2 linked regions of the Diceros bicornis minor genome follow. The protein of the gene in region 1 purifies or fractionates together with the protein of each later gene. This does not show direct contact. Links are inferred from orthologs where the notes say so. Each region holds a gene or a part of one and is shown on either strand. Other genes may lie near its edges.

Evidence for each region. Proteins that work in one complex are often made in the same cells at the same time.
Region 2: the proteins of JUNB (region 1) and ATF3 purify together in Homo sapiens (affinity purification with mass spectrometry; 3 studies listed by BioGRID and IntAct, counting the BioPlex papers as one, with this or other methods). This does not show direct contact. The link is inferred for Diceros bicornis minor from reciprocal best matches to the Homo sapiens genes JUNB and ATF3.

The regions. Positions count from the first base shown.
Region 1 is NC_080769.1:4,564,344-4,570,751, forward strand, and holds JUNB (transcription factor JunB), read right to left. Parts: upstream 2,357-6,408; 5' UTR 2,059-2,356; coding exon 1,015-2,058; 3' UTR 514-1,014; downstream 1-513. UniProt on the Homo sapiens protein: Transcription factor involved in regulating gene activity following the primary growth factor response. Binds to the DNA sequence 5'-TGA[GC]TCA-3'.
Region 2 is NC_080743.1:78,227,257-78,234,609, forward strand, and holds the start of ATF3 (cyclic AMP-dependent transcription factor ATF-3), read left to right. Parts: upstream 1-4,346; 5' UTR 4,347-4,526; intron 4,527-7,353.

The DNA of each region.
Region 1 (6,408 bases):
GAGCGCGGCCCGCCCACCGCGCACGCTCTGGACCCAGGCCTGGGGCTTTCCGGGTCCCGGCAGCCGCCTGCCTGGGAAAATCCCGGCCCCCTTCCCGGCTCCGCGGCCCTGCCGGGCAGAGCGGGGGAGGGGATTCCCGGAATCTGCCCGGAGACCGCCGGCGCGTCACTGGGCAGAATCGGCCCAAATATGGGCAGCGCTTCCGCTGCGTCAGCGGGGAAAGCCCCGGCGCGCGGCTGGGCGGGGCCGCACCTGCGCACTGCGCGCCTCGCCCGGGGCACTCTGCCCCCTGGTGCTGGGCGGCTGGACCGCGTCCCCGCCCTGGACCTTCCAACCCCAGAGATCAGCGGACGCGAGTAGGGTTGGACGCTCGAGCTGGAGCTGCAAGATGCCTGGGCAGAGCTGGCGAGGGGAACCCGGATACAGGAGCGAGCCACAAACAGCAGTGGGGTGGGGGCAGCCCAGTACTCTCCTCCCTCCGCCCGCCCGGCTTGGAAAAAAAGACAACAGAAATTAATAAAGAACCATTTTTTTTTTTTACTTAAATAGATTCAATAAAAAGTGGGAACGACAAACTCACGCACACACACACAAACACATATTAAAATAAACTCTGTAGAGTCCAAGGGTGTGTTTCTTCTCCACAGTACGATGCAGAGGGGGGAGGGCAGGGGGCGGGGGTCCCCTCCCCAGTGTTCCCGCGGGCTTGAGTACCGGGCGGCGGGGCCAGCTCCGCCGCGATCGCCCCCTCCTCCCCTCCCTGTTAAATACACAAATATATTATATTCAATATGACTTAGTCTGTTTCCAGCAGAAAAAAACATACAAAAAAATGTGGAAGAGGGGCTTGTAAACGTCGAGGTGGAAGGACTGAGCGCAGAGCGTGCGGGCAGGAGTCCAGTGTGGTGTGCGGCGTCCCCAGGCTCCGGGTCCGGTGCCCACCGCCTGCCCCCTCGCCCCGTGGGAGGCGTGCGCCCAGCCGTCCAGGCTGGGGGAATGTCTGTACGGGGGCGCTCAGAAGGCGTGTCCCTTGACCCCAAGAAGCAGCTGGCAGCCGTTGCTGACATGGGTCATGACCTTCTGTTTGAGCTGGGCCACCTGCTCCCGGAGGAGGCCGGCAGTGCTCGACAGACCCGCGTTCTCGGCCTTGAGTGTCTTCACCTTGTCCTCCAGGCGCGCGATGCGCTCCAGCTTCCGCTTCCGGCACTTGGTGGCCGCCAGCCGGTTCCGCAGCCGCTTGCGCTCCACTTTGATGCGCTCCTGGTCTTCCATGTTGATGGGGGACACCGGCGGCGTGGCGTCGCGGCTGCGCGCCTCAGGCACGGTCTGCGGTTCCTCCTTGAAGGTGGAGGCGCCGCGGCCCAGGCCCAGCTGCGCCGGGTGGCCGCCGGCGAAGGGCGGCGCGTGTGGGAGGTAGCTGATGGTGGCCGTCGGGTACGAGCTCCCGGTCCCGACGGCGGCCCCGGCGCCTCCGGAGGGCGCTGAGGCTGGCGAATAGCTGCTGAGGTTGGTGTAGACGGGAGGCGGCTCTGGGCCGGCGTAGACACCCCCGGGCCCGGCCGGGGGCCCCCCGCTGGTGCCCAGGGACACGTTGGGGGGCGTCACGTGGTTCATCTTGTGCAGGTCGTCCAGGGCTTTGACAAAGCCGTCGGCGAAACCTTCCTGCTCCTCGGTGACGCCGCCTCCCGCGCCCCCCGCACCTCCACCGCTGCCACCCCCGCGGGGGTAAAAGTACTGTCCCGGGGGCGTGGGCGTCGTCGTGATCACGCCGTTGCTGTTGGGGACGATCAGGCGCTCCAGCTCCGATGAGGCGAGCTTGAGTGACGCGCCTGTGTCCGAGCCCTGGCTGGGAAAGTAGCTGCTGCCACCGCTGCCCTCTGGGCCGGGGCCCCGCGCCCCGGGAGCTTTGAGACCTCGGTAGGGGTCGGCCAGGTTGAGCGCCAGGCTGGGTTTCAGGAGTTTGTAGTCGTGTAGAGAGAGGCCGCCCGGGGCCCGGCCGTATCCCGCCGCTGCGTATGAGTCGTCGTGGTAGAAGGGCTGTTCCATTTTAGTGCACATCCGGGCGGCCCGGGCGGTCTGGCGGGGTCCCTGCGGGGCCGCCCCGGGCCTCGCTGCAGCGAGCGGCTCGCTGTCCGCGGCGGTGGCTGGACTGGGCGTCTGGACGCGCGTTCCTAGGGGCTGGAACAGGCCGGGAGACGCCAGCCGGCGGCTGTGCGCGGAAGCTCTGTGCGGCTTCTCGAGCTCCTCTGCCCCTCTCTGGCGCGCCCGCTTTCTTGGTGTCGCTTCCCCCTGCTCCCCGCTCCCCGCTGGCTCCGACGCTGGCCTGGCCGCGCTCAAGGTCCCAGCCGCTCAGTCGGAGTCACACGCCTTTATACCGCGATAGTCAGCTGCGGAAGTGCGCCCCGATTGGCCGTTGCTGGAGCCGGGCCCCCGCGCCCCCCCCCTTGAGCGTGGGGAAGGGGAGGAGGCGGCTCGCGTCACTGTCAGGAAGCGCGTGTCCTTGTAAACAGCGGCCACGGGCTGGGTGGCTCGGCGCGGCTGCAGGGGGAGGGGCTCAGGGGACCCCAGGGTGCGCGAGGAAGGGGCTGCTAGGGCAGTCGGGGAGGGGCTCCAGGAAGGGCATGATCCCCCTGAAGTACGCGATAAGGGATACGAGGAACTGATACAGAGCAAGTGTGTGCGCGCGGGGGGGGGGGGGGTCCCAATCCCAGGATGTCCATGGAGAGGCCTGAGGGACCCAGAGTATCCGAAAGGGGTTGGAGGACTGAGAATACACCGGAGACCCCACAAAGAAGAGACGGGAGGGTTAAGTAGAGTAGATGGGGGAGGGGTAAAAATACGCCTGACTCAGGAATGACGGGGGTCCTGGGTACAGAGAGGTTGGGGGACTGGAATTTTCACGAGAGGGGCTGAACCCAGGAAAAATGAGGAGGGGGAGAGATCAAAAGGGTAGACGGGGAGGAGCCGGAGGACCCATCATGCAAAAAACGAGTAGGGGTCCTGGAGTCCATGGGAGAGACTGAGGGGCCCCCACAAGTGGGAAGGGGAAGGAATTGGGGGTATCTAGATATGCAGAAAGTGAGGGTTCTGGGGTACAGTGAGTAAGGGAAAATATGTGGGGTAGAAGATGGAGACTGTCAGAGATTGGGGGTCACTGGGGTTATCTACAAAGCCCTGATGAAAGAGAATTAGAGGGATCGGGGCACACCTTCAGAACTGAGATGACAATGACAGAGGGTCCCCGGCTGAGACATGAGAGGAGGGGTCTTTGAGGATCCTGGGGACCTGTACTGCTGGATCTTCCATGATTGGCGCCCCCTCTCGTGGGTGACCTCTAGGCGCCTGTATACTCTGTCCCCATCCCAAAGACCTCCCCCAGTGACCCTGGGCTTGACCGACACCGTGCCGGCTCCTGGTGCCTGGACCCAGCCTGACCGCCGGGGCGCGGTCGCCCAACCCCACTCCTTCCTTAGAAACAGGCTGGGGAAAGAGCGCCGCAGCAGGAAGTGTGGCAACAGCCCCCGGGGAAGGAGCCCGGCCCTGCCTCCGTCACTCGGATCCTACGGGACCGTGCGCCCCGCCCTGGGTCCGGCTGGGTTGTGCGCCTCGGAAGAGGAACCTGGGCGTGCGACCCCTCCGGAGGCCAGCGTGCGCGGAACCCGCCCAGCTGCAGAGGCCCCCAGTCACATCCCCCCCCTCCAGCAATGGTTCAGCCCGCGGGGGCTCGCAAGCGATCGCGGAGGCAGGCAGGCCCGGGACGATTCCATTGACCCGACAGAGGGGGACGCACCGGGGAGCAGGGCCTGGTAGCCATGGCAACAGGCCGGAGTCCGCGGGCAGGGCTGGGGGCGGGGCGGCCCCCGGAGTCTCTCCCGACGCCCATATAAGGGCACAGGAAGGGGTGGGGCCAGCGCTGTCCCGGGGCCCCGAGCCAGGAGCCGGGAGTCCGGGTATCTGCCAGGTTCCCGGGCGCGCCCGGGCCCCCGGACGGCTAGTCCCGACCAGCCCTGGCCGCCGCCCCCAGGGCCCCCACGGCCGCCTGGCCCGGCCCCACCCAGCCGCTCTGGGGCCGCGTCCTGCCAGCCTTGGCCCGGCCCGGCCCGACCCAGCCCGGCAGGTCCCCGCCTGCCCGCGGGCCTGGGTCGGACTTCGCCCCTGGCCCGACGGGGCGCGGAGGGGGCGGGCCAATGCCTGGAGGCTCCCCCGGCGCCTGGGCGGGCTGGCACGGCTGCCTCCTCCCTCGGGCGGGGTGCCCTTCCTTTCTGCCGTGAGGTCTGTGGCCCCTCCCCACAAACACCCCTGGGAGCTGGTGTGCCCCCTCTCACTCATGTGGGTGAGGGGCCCTACTCCTGTTTTAGTCTGAGGGTCTTGTCAACCATCCAGAATACCTAGGGGGTTCCCCTCTCCTCCAAACAGAGGGGACCTGAGAATCCGTGGCGAGATCTGAGGGAACCCCTCCAGAGCTCCTTCCCTGGGACTGAGTGGAGGTTTAGATGACGAGGTTTCTAGTTAGACTTAAGGTGAGACTTCCAAGCAGTTAGGATGTGAGCCTCTAGAACAAGAGGTGAGAAGCTCCATCTCTCTCTCTCTCTTTCTCTCTTTTTCTCTCAGAGAGAGGCCTCTATTTTCTGGGAAGATGGAAGTTTCTTTAGGGTAGAGAGGGGCTGAGGGACAGGGGCTAGCCAGTCTTTGCAGGGCAAGCACAGAGCTCAGCAAGTGTGGGGGAGAGAAGGAAAACGAAAGAGGCGAAAAAGAAACTGAGCTATGTGGGGGCAGGGGGAAGTCCAGCAGAGCAGTGGTGTTGGGGAGGAAGATCCCAGGAGAAGCTGGGGGCCTCCCGTCTCTGGAGGGTCCTTGTGACCCCTGGGTGCCCCCTCGGCCTCCTCCCCTTGCTTGAACAGCTCCCCTCCCCCGCCCCAGGCTCAAGGGAGATTCCAGTGGCCGCTGAGTCTGGCGGGCACGCTGCCAGGCCTGTGTCTCCCGCCCATGCTAATAGCTGCAGCTGACATCTGGCTGGGCCCTGCGGGGGCGCAGCGGGCAGCGTTGGGGGGCTGGGCAGGTCTGGCGGGAGGGCAGCACCTTGGGAAGCCAGCCTGCAGGTCCCACGGGCCAGGAGGCCACAGCAAGTCAGCCCTGGCCAGTGCTGAGGCTGGCCATGCCAGGGGGGTCCTGGAGAGAGGCGAGGCTGGCCAGGAGAGGATGGAGATGGAGGGCAAGGACTGAGCGAGGACAAGCAGTTGTGTGGGGGCGGGGGTCAGCACAGGCAGAGACGCCCAGAGAGACAAACCGGGGTAGGGTTAGCGTCATGCAGACAGACAGCAAAACTCAGAGACACTTAAGATAGGTCGACAGACTGAGAAATAATAGTTATTATTTTAATAGCTAACACTTATATGGCTCTTACCATGGGCCTGGCATTCTTCTAAGTGATTTGAGTAACTCATTGCCTGCTTCTAACAACCCAGCGAAATGCATGCTGTTTCTATCCCCATTTAACAGACGTGAAAACTGAGGTACAGGAAGGTAAGGAATTGCCTGATGTCCCAGAGCTGTAAGTGCTGGAGTTGGAACATAACCCCAGCGGTCTGGCTGCAGAGCATTAGCCACTGTCCTGTGGATAATCACAACCAGAGAGGCGTTTATGCGGCACCAGCTGTATGCCAAGCTCTGCAGGCTCTTTCACGAAGGGTCTTCTCTCATGGGAAGAGAGATGGGGTTGGGCACAGGGCAGAGGGGTGCTGGTGTGTGTGGGCGCCGGCCGGCGTGTTGCAGTGGGGTCGGGTAGCTGCATGCGCTCTGCATGGGTGTCTGAGCAAGGAGTGGGGATTGGGCCAGTGCGAGAGGGCGGGGGCCCAGCCAAGCTGGTACAGCCGGTTCCAGGCCCTGCCAGTCTCACCTTTGTGGCCTGGGCACCACCCCCTCACGCCGCCCCAGTGGCGCCAAGGCCAAAGTGAGGAGAGTGTGAGGATAGCCCCCTCCCCCACCTGGCTGGGGTGCCCAGACTGGCAGCTGGGTACTGCCCAGGCCCTGGGCTTCAGACCAGCATCTGGCTGGGAAGTCTGTGCCCAGGCTTCCCCCTCCCAGGGGCCTAGCGCTGGGGGGGAGCGGGATAAGGAGGAAGTTCACCCACCCCCACCCACGGGTCTCTCTGGGGCTTTTGGCCCTGGCATGAGGGACTTCTCCTTCTTATAAATAGCCTAGTGACCCCCTCCCCCGTGGCCCTACTGACCGGTGGGGCCCTCACCAGGAAACTGGGCCGGGGGCTGCCGGTGAGTCAGCCAGTGGGCAGGCCAGGGCGAGAACCCACAAGTCATAGCACCCAGCCTCCGGAGTCCCTGCCCCTGGGTGTGGACACGCAGCTGGGCAGGAAGAGGCCGAAAATCATGGAGGTCCTCCCCCAGGAACCCC
Region 2 (7,353 bases), on another chromosome or scaffold:
GGAAGAGATGATTGAAATGAGTCTGTCCTTGTGCTATTCAATCCCTTCCCCTTGCTTCCTTCTCTCCCTGCAGCTTTCTTAGGAGAGGTTGCCAGGGACTCCTGAAGCAGGATTGTCTCAGCAGAAGGTGTCCATTCAAGAGCCCCAGAGCTCAGTCCAGCGCCCCTCATTTCAGAAGGGAGAGTGCCTTGCTCAAGGTTATCAAAGGCAAAACCAGACCAGAAACCAAACCCCCTGCTCCCATCCCAGGGCATTACACTGGGTCATTGGGAGCCTGAAGCACTGGTCTGCCCTGCTCTGGGGAGAGCCTGGGGTGTGTACCAGAGTCGCGTGGAGAATGGGGATCACTCTCATTGTTTTCTGTGTGGAGTGTCGTCTCTGCTCCCCTGAAGATGGTCCTCTCTGGGTACAACTCGACTTCATCCACAACTATTTGCCACTGACTAGGGGGACAGAATGGGCTCCAGGAGAGATTCAGGGGTATCCTCAGAATGCCCTCCTTGATTCATAATTAATGATACCACTACTGAAGACTGGCTGTGTGCCCCATCCTCAATGCATCCTCCCAACAAATTTACGGGTTAGCTGCTAGTGTCAGTGCCATTTTTCAGCTGTGGAAACTTAAGTGCAGAGAGTGAAATGACTTATCCAAGGTGACGCATTCGCTACGTGCTGAATCCAGAACCAAAGAGCCAGCTTCCACACTTCAGAGCCCACTTCAGAGCCCTGCTTCCCTGAGGTTCCCGAGTCACATTTCGGAGATTCTTAAATTAGTAATCCCCACATTCAAACTGACATTATAGAAGGTTTTGGCTTTGGAAAGTAGGACAGAGAGGAAGAAAATCCACCCCACTCCCTTTCTGAGGTGAAGAAGTGGGTTGAGCCAGGAGGACAGGGCTGCCAGTACCCTGCTGCTTCCTGGAATGATCTTACCTGGTGTTTAACCCCCTCCGTTGCTCTGTGAGCAAACAGGATCTTGGGGTTTGAAGAAGAGTAATGGGGGTGGAGGCAGGAGTGGAAAGGGACTGTTCCCTGGACCAAGAAACTGCTAAAATCTTTAAATATCTCTTGAACTTTTTTTTTTCTTTTGGCTCCCTGCAATGTTTTGGTGTTTAGATTCGGTTGCCACGAGGGGGGCTGTTTTTAGCTGCCTAGTTCCTTCCCCTCCCCTTTTAACTTCTTTCCCTTCCTTTTGCACATGCCCCAGCACGAAGTTTCCAATTCTTATCTCACTCAGCAAAATATACCAAGGCTGGTCTCAATGTGGATTCCCCAGGCGGTTCTCCAGTGTGAAACCTCAGCAATATTCAAGTCTCTGCTTAACCCTCTTTCATTGAGGATTAACCCCTGAAATAACCCTAGCCAGGGCTTCCTTCTCAGGGGGGAGAGGCATTCTTTGCCTTTGTATGGAGAAGCATTTTGGTCTGGGGAACTTTTCCTGCCTCTCCTCTAGATGGTACAGAGTGTGCACATTGGACATTGGTGGCATTAACTAAAGTCAGGGTAAAATGAAGAGGCACAGGACTCAGATACTGATCACCCTGGTGGCACACACCTTGGGGATCTTCCCTTCCACTGCTCTTTCCTAGTCTCTCTCCAGGCATTTCACAGTTCTCCTGGGGGCTGGGGGCAGGGAGGCAGGCTGGAGTAGTTTTTGTTTTCCTTGGATAAGAGTTTCATTCACAAGGAGGTGGACTTACTTCTCTGTCAAGATTCTTATGCTTTTAGAGTTTCAGTGGGAAAGCAGGCAGAGAGTGTCAGGCTCTGACTTCGAAGAAGCGCTGACAGCATTTCTATCCAGGTGTGACTTGGAGATTCCAACTCAAGAATTTTATTAGAACGAAACAATGGGAGGCAGGATGGTAATAAAAATAAGCTGACCAGGGGTTGTGGACTTCGCTGTCTTGATTACCTTTCTCTTGCATTGTTTTGTGGAGGCTGTTCTGTTTGTTTACCCTATGCTCTAAATGGAATTTCCCCTTAAGGACAGGACTAAGCCTCCACGAATGTGGCTTGGATGTATTAATGGAATAATAGTTTAAAATGTAAACTGGTTCAAGATTTCTGTAGGCACTTCACAGAGGGGAAAAAAAGAAAAAAGCTTTCACGTGTTCTCCCCCATCTCCTTGTTTCATTTTATAATGGTGCAATTTATTCAAAGCTAGGAGATAAGTAGATATAATAGATAAGTAGAGAATCCCTAAAACTTTCATGTGAATTTGCAAAACACCCTTCCTTCTGGTCTCGCGGCGTTCTAGGGGTTGTGCCTACATGCCCGGGGTTTACCTGCCTGCGGGGTTTACCGCAGGAGGGCGGGGAATGGGGGTGCGGAGAGGTGTGAGGCGGTGTGGGCGTGGAGGCTGGAGGGTGGCGCCGGGAGAGCCGTTACCACGGCGAAAAGTAAAGCAAAAACAACCGTCTCACGCTTCCCGCGCGACGCTGCTGGAAACCTGGTCATGTCCAGGGCCACATCGCGGAGGATCCTGCGTGGAACCCCGAGGTTCCCAGACGAGCAGGAGGAGGGGGCACTTCCGAGGCCACCCTCCTCCTTGTCCTGGGCCCAAGGCTTGGACGGGTGGGGGGTATTCTAGGTGAGGCTGGGGCTTGGGGGAGAGGATCGCGGGTGTGGGGGACTCAGTTTGACCTGCAGCTCAGAGGGTCTCTGCCCCAGACTGCTGGGCAATCGGAAGGGCTGGGGAAAGGGACAGGGATTTCCCGCGGGTGCGGGACTGTGTATTTAAGGCGGAGGGGGCGGCAGGTGCGGTGGGGTGCGACTGTGGACTAGACCCGGACTCCGAGACCCTTCTGGCTCTTACCCCAAATTGCCAAACTATGACCGTCAACCGCCTCTCTCCCAAGAGGCAGGTAGAAGAAGGTGTTTCTGCCCCCGGCCGTGCCCCCACACCCCGCGGGCGCGCGCGGGTCACCCGCCCAGGCAGGTTCGAAACGTCGCAGGCTACACTCGCGTCCATGGGTGTCCCTGGGCAGTTGAGAAGGTCCCTGGTTCTGCCGCTTTCGAAGCCGAGACAATTGGAGTCGGAGAATCGGAATGGGGAAATCGATTTTTAAGGTTCAAATCCAGTTCTGCTGAAGCCTTGGCTCGAAGCTGGGGCCATCGGACCTCGCCTTTCCCGCCACCCGGGCTCGAGGGCGGAAGGGATTTCTGCTACCCGGCCTCATTTCGGCTGCGGTCAGTGCGCCCCGAGTCCGGGCTGTCCTGTCGCAGCCCAATCCGCTCTGGGCGCAGAAAAACGTGTGAAAGCCGAAGATGGGTTTTCCCTAAATCTTGCCTGAGATCGAGGTCACCCTTGCCCCGCCCGGCCCGCGGAGACCGAAGCACCTTCTCTTTGCTCTCTCCCTGGCCGCTCGGCTTCAGCCCCACTCTTATCCCCTCTGATTCGCCTCTGATCTCTCCAGGTCTCTGGTCTTTCGATGGTCTTGTTCGTTTCACTGAGAATCTCCCTCTCAAACACTTTGTGGTTGTTAAAAAATCCTAATCCACACCGTCCTACTACTCGCCCTCGCCCCAGAGGCGGGTTCCCAAACGGTCCGGAGGCGGTTCCGCGTGTGCGCTCGTGTCGGCTGTGCCGGAGCTGCGGGCGCACGGTGCCCGCCCAGCGCTGCCCTCCGCGACTGGGTTAACCGGCAGCCTCCTCGCGGTCTCTGCCGCGGAGGTCACCCCCGGCGGGTAACGGTGTGGAGTCCCGGTAGGGTGCCTTTGGGCACCTCTCCCACACCGGAGACCAACGCTTCTGCCCCTACCCCGCCCCTTACTTGAGAAGGGGGTGTTTAGCGTGGGGAGGAGATATTTTCTTGAAGCTCTAGAAAATGACCACGCATTTTAGAAAAAGGTCGTGCCCGTTTCCCAGCCTCACCTAGTCTGGGCTGCGGCCAAGACCCACCCCTCCATCTTCCCCCCCAAACCTAGCGGAGGGAGAGATGCCAGCGCGGTGGAGTCATGCCGCTGGCTTGGGCACCATTGGCTCATGCCTGGAACACGCAGCGGGGAGTACGCACATCTGGCGGCCAGCCCGAGCGGCTCCGGTCCTGATATGGAGAGAGAGGGCGGGCGGGTGTGTGTCCCAGCGTGCGAAGCCGGGAGAACGCGCCCCGGCCGGCTCCTCCCCAAGCTTGCATCACCAGTCCCCGCTTTGGCCCCTCCTTCCCCCGCCCCTCCCTTTGCCCAGCCTAGTTCGGCTGGTTCTCTGGGGAAGCTATTAATAGCATTACGTCAGCCTGGGTCTGGTAACCCAGAGTAAACGGGCGTGTCGCCAGCCTGAGAGCTATAAAAGGGGTGATGCAACGCGCTCCAAGCCACAGTCGCACGCAGCTAGACGCGCGCTGCGGAGCGCTGTCCCGGCGCAGCAGTCCCAGCCGACCCACCAGCCCGCGCGCCGGCCGTGCGTCCTCGGTGTTCGCCCGCCGGCCCCACAGACAGACAGACAGCCCGACCCCGCCCTGACCCCGCCCGCCCTCTGGACCCTGGCCGCCCGGAGGGGAGACAGGAGGTGAGCGCTGGAAGACGAGTGAGTGAGCGCTGCGAGGGTGGCTCGCTTTCATTCCCTTTGCGACCCTCTAATAACCAGTCCCCCGATCCCTGCGCCCACCCCCGACCCGCACGCCCAGGCTCCAGCTTCGAAAGAACTCTGGCTGAACTTCTCCCAGACACGGCTGCTCCTCAGCACTTGGGAAAGTTTCTCGCAAAGAACTTTCTCTTTTGACATGGGGCGCGAAAGGTTTCTGGTGAACAGAGAGGTCGGGCTTCCGCTCCTCTCCGCCCTCGGCACTTACTTACCCCACTAGGAGCGGGTGTGGGGAAGTGGGTGCGCGGGGGTGTCTGAGACTGTCCGGCTCGCCATCCGGCTCCATCCCTCGCTTCGTGTCCGGGCACTGCCACTCCCGAGCCCAGCCTTCCGGAGGTCCGCAGAGAGGTGCGGAGGCCGGGTGCTCGCGGAAGGGCTGTGCTAGGAACCGAACGGAATGAATGGGGAAGGGACGGGCGAGCCGGGGGCGCGGGCGCGGCCGCTGGGGGTCGCCCTGCGCATCGCGGAGCGCTGGCTCAGGACCGCTCAGGGAGCCCGGAGCGAAAGTTAGTTGGGATAAGTTTAGAGGTGGCAAGCACTCATGTCGCTGTCCTGGGGCAGAAGGCGGAGAGGGCTCCCGGCACAAGCTGATGTTGGGCTTCTGGGCCGGAGGCTTCCTGTCCCAAGTCCCTCACACGCTTTTCCCTCATACCTGTGACTCTCGCTCTGGCTCTCTCTCTGGTGGGTTCTCGGATTTCTTTGCTTTGCGTCCGTGGAGACCCACCGTGGGGGGAAGCCAGGGTGCAAAGCCAGTTCAGATAATTGGGAGAACGGCTTTGTGGTCTAGTGGCCAGGCCCTGAGAGCTTATACTACACTTGATGTCCTTGAGCCTCAGTATCCCCAGCTGGGAGATGTGGGCACATAGGCACTACTGGCCTTCTTTGCTTGTTTGCGAGCACCAGGGGGTGTTTGGACTGGATAACCAGTAAAGTCCTTTCTGGCTAAAGATTTTCAGATTCTAGAGTGGTGTAATTGAAACAAAAGGGGCCGGTGAGGGGACTTGAATGACTTGAATGAGGAGGGTCGCTATCTAATGTCACCGACCAGCTTCTGAGGCAGTGGGGGAAAGGGGCCTTCTCTGTGGGGCATCTCTTCCTTTCCCAACTTTCTTCCCATTGGATTGGTTCTCATTCTCTGCTGCCCCACACCCCATTTTCATTTCATCTACTTACTTCCTTTCCTCCTAACCATTTTCTTTTCCCTAATTTTGTTACCTACTTCTCATATGCTCCCTTACAAATAGAGGAGTTGCTAAATCCTTGATGAAGCCAGAAAAAAAAATTGGGGATGCTAGAAAATCTGGGTGCTCTCCAAAGTGTGGGTGACAGTCACATCTATTTGGGGCCTCTGTCTCCCCAACTGTAAACGAAGGGGAAATTGGTATTACTGTCCCCCTTGTTCTGTGTTTAGCATTTGTTGTAGAATAATGCTACAACATATAGGCTCTTGCTTTGAAGATATCCTGGACAAAGCCTGGGGTGGTGGTGGGTTTTGCAGTTGTTAATGTCTGCACAGTTGCAGAGACAGCATGGCAGGTGGCAATCCAGGCCCATACTGTGCATAAGATACAGACAGCACCCAGCACCTCTGGCAGCTATTGGAGCCTTCTGAGCCTTCTTGCCTTAACCCCACCCTTCTCTCTCTCCCTCTTGGCCCTTCCTCTCCATTGTTCTCTTTCTTCTATACTCTGTCCCTGTCTTAGTCCTGTCAAAGCCTCCTCTGTAGTGGGTACCAGGTTACAGGACTATGAGGGGTAGATGACCCCTCATCTACCTTTGCCGTATTGGTTGATCCTCATAGTGTTGGATCTCTTTTGGTGATGGAGCAAAATGAGCAGCGGGTGGGTGGTCAACAGCTTGGCCTGGGCTGGGGCACTCACCAGCTTTATGGCCTTGGGCAAGTCACTTTACCTTCCTGGACCTCACTTTACTCAATTACAAAATGAAGATCTGACCTAGATGACTCCAATACTGGGTGTTCTATCCCATTGTATAGAGCCCATGATTTCTTGCTTTTTCGAATTGTCTGGGTGTGGAACAGGGTCAGTGGTCCCAAGTGTTACCCAGGCTAGGGAAGAGGAAGTACATAGCCAGGATACCACAGAAACCAGAAATGGTTTCATGTGTGAGAACTGGTTATTTCTTAAGTATGTAAGACCAGTGGAGGCAAGCTGGTGCCAGGAAATAGTGGGGTGGAATTGACCTGGTGTGTCAGGAGCCCAGAAGTCAATCAAAGTACAAAAGAAGCTGTGAGTGACCTAAATTTCTTGAGGGTTCAAGTTAATTCCCAATTAACGGGCTAACTGACATTGACAACGATATTATGAGTTTCCCCTGAAATGGAGAAAGTGGGATCGCAGTAATAATGGCTACCAGTATGTGTGTAAATCCACCATCATGAATCTTATACGATCTTCCTGACAGCCCCATGAGGGAATTGGAGCAGGCAGTATTGGTCTCATTTTACAGACAGGAGACTGAGGCCCAGAAAGCGTGAGTGACTTGTCAATGGGTGCTCAGCATGTGAGTGGTAGTGATAGGGCTGGAAGCATCGTCTCTAGTCCTGAAGTCTGGACACCTACACACCTACAGCCTTCAAGTAGGCTGGGAGAAAGACCAAGATACGAAGTTATGAAAGACCAACATTGGCTTCCTACTGTAAGATGTTTTATGAGCAGTGCTTACTGGAAAGAGATGAAAATTAAAAGTGAAAATTCAACGTTGTTGTAGCTGCTAGGAAATAAAATCTGGGAGCTGAATTTCCAGTTAC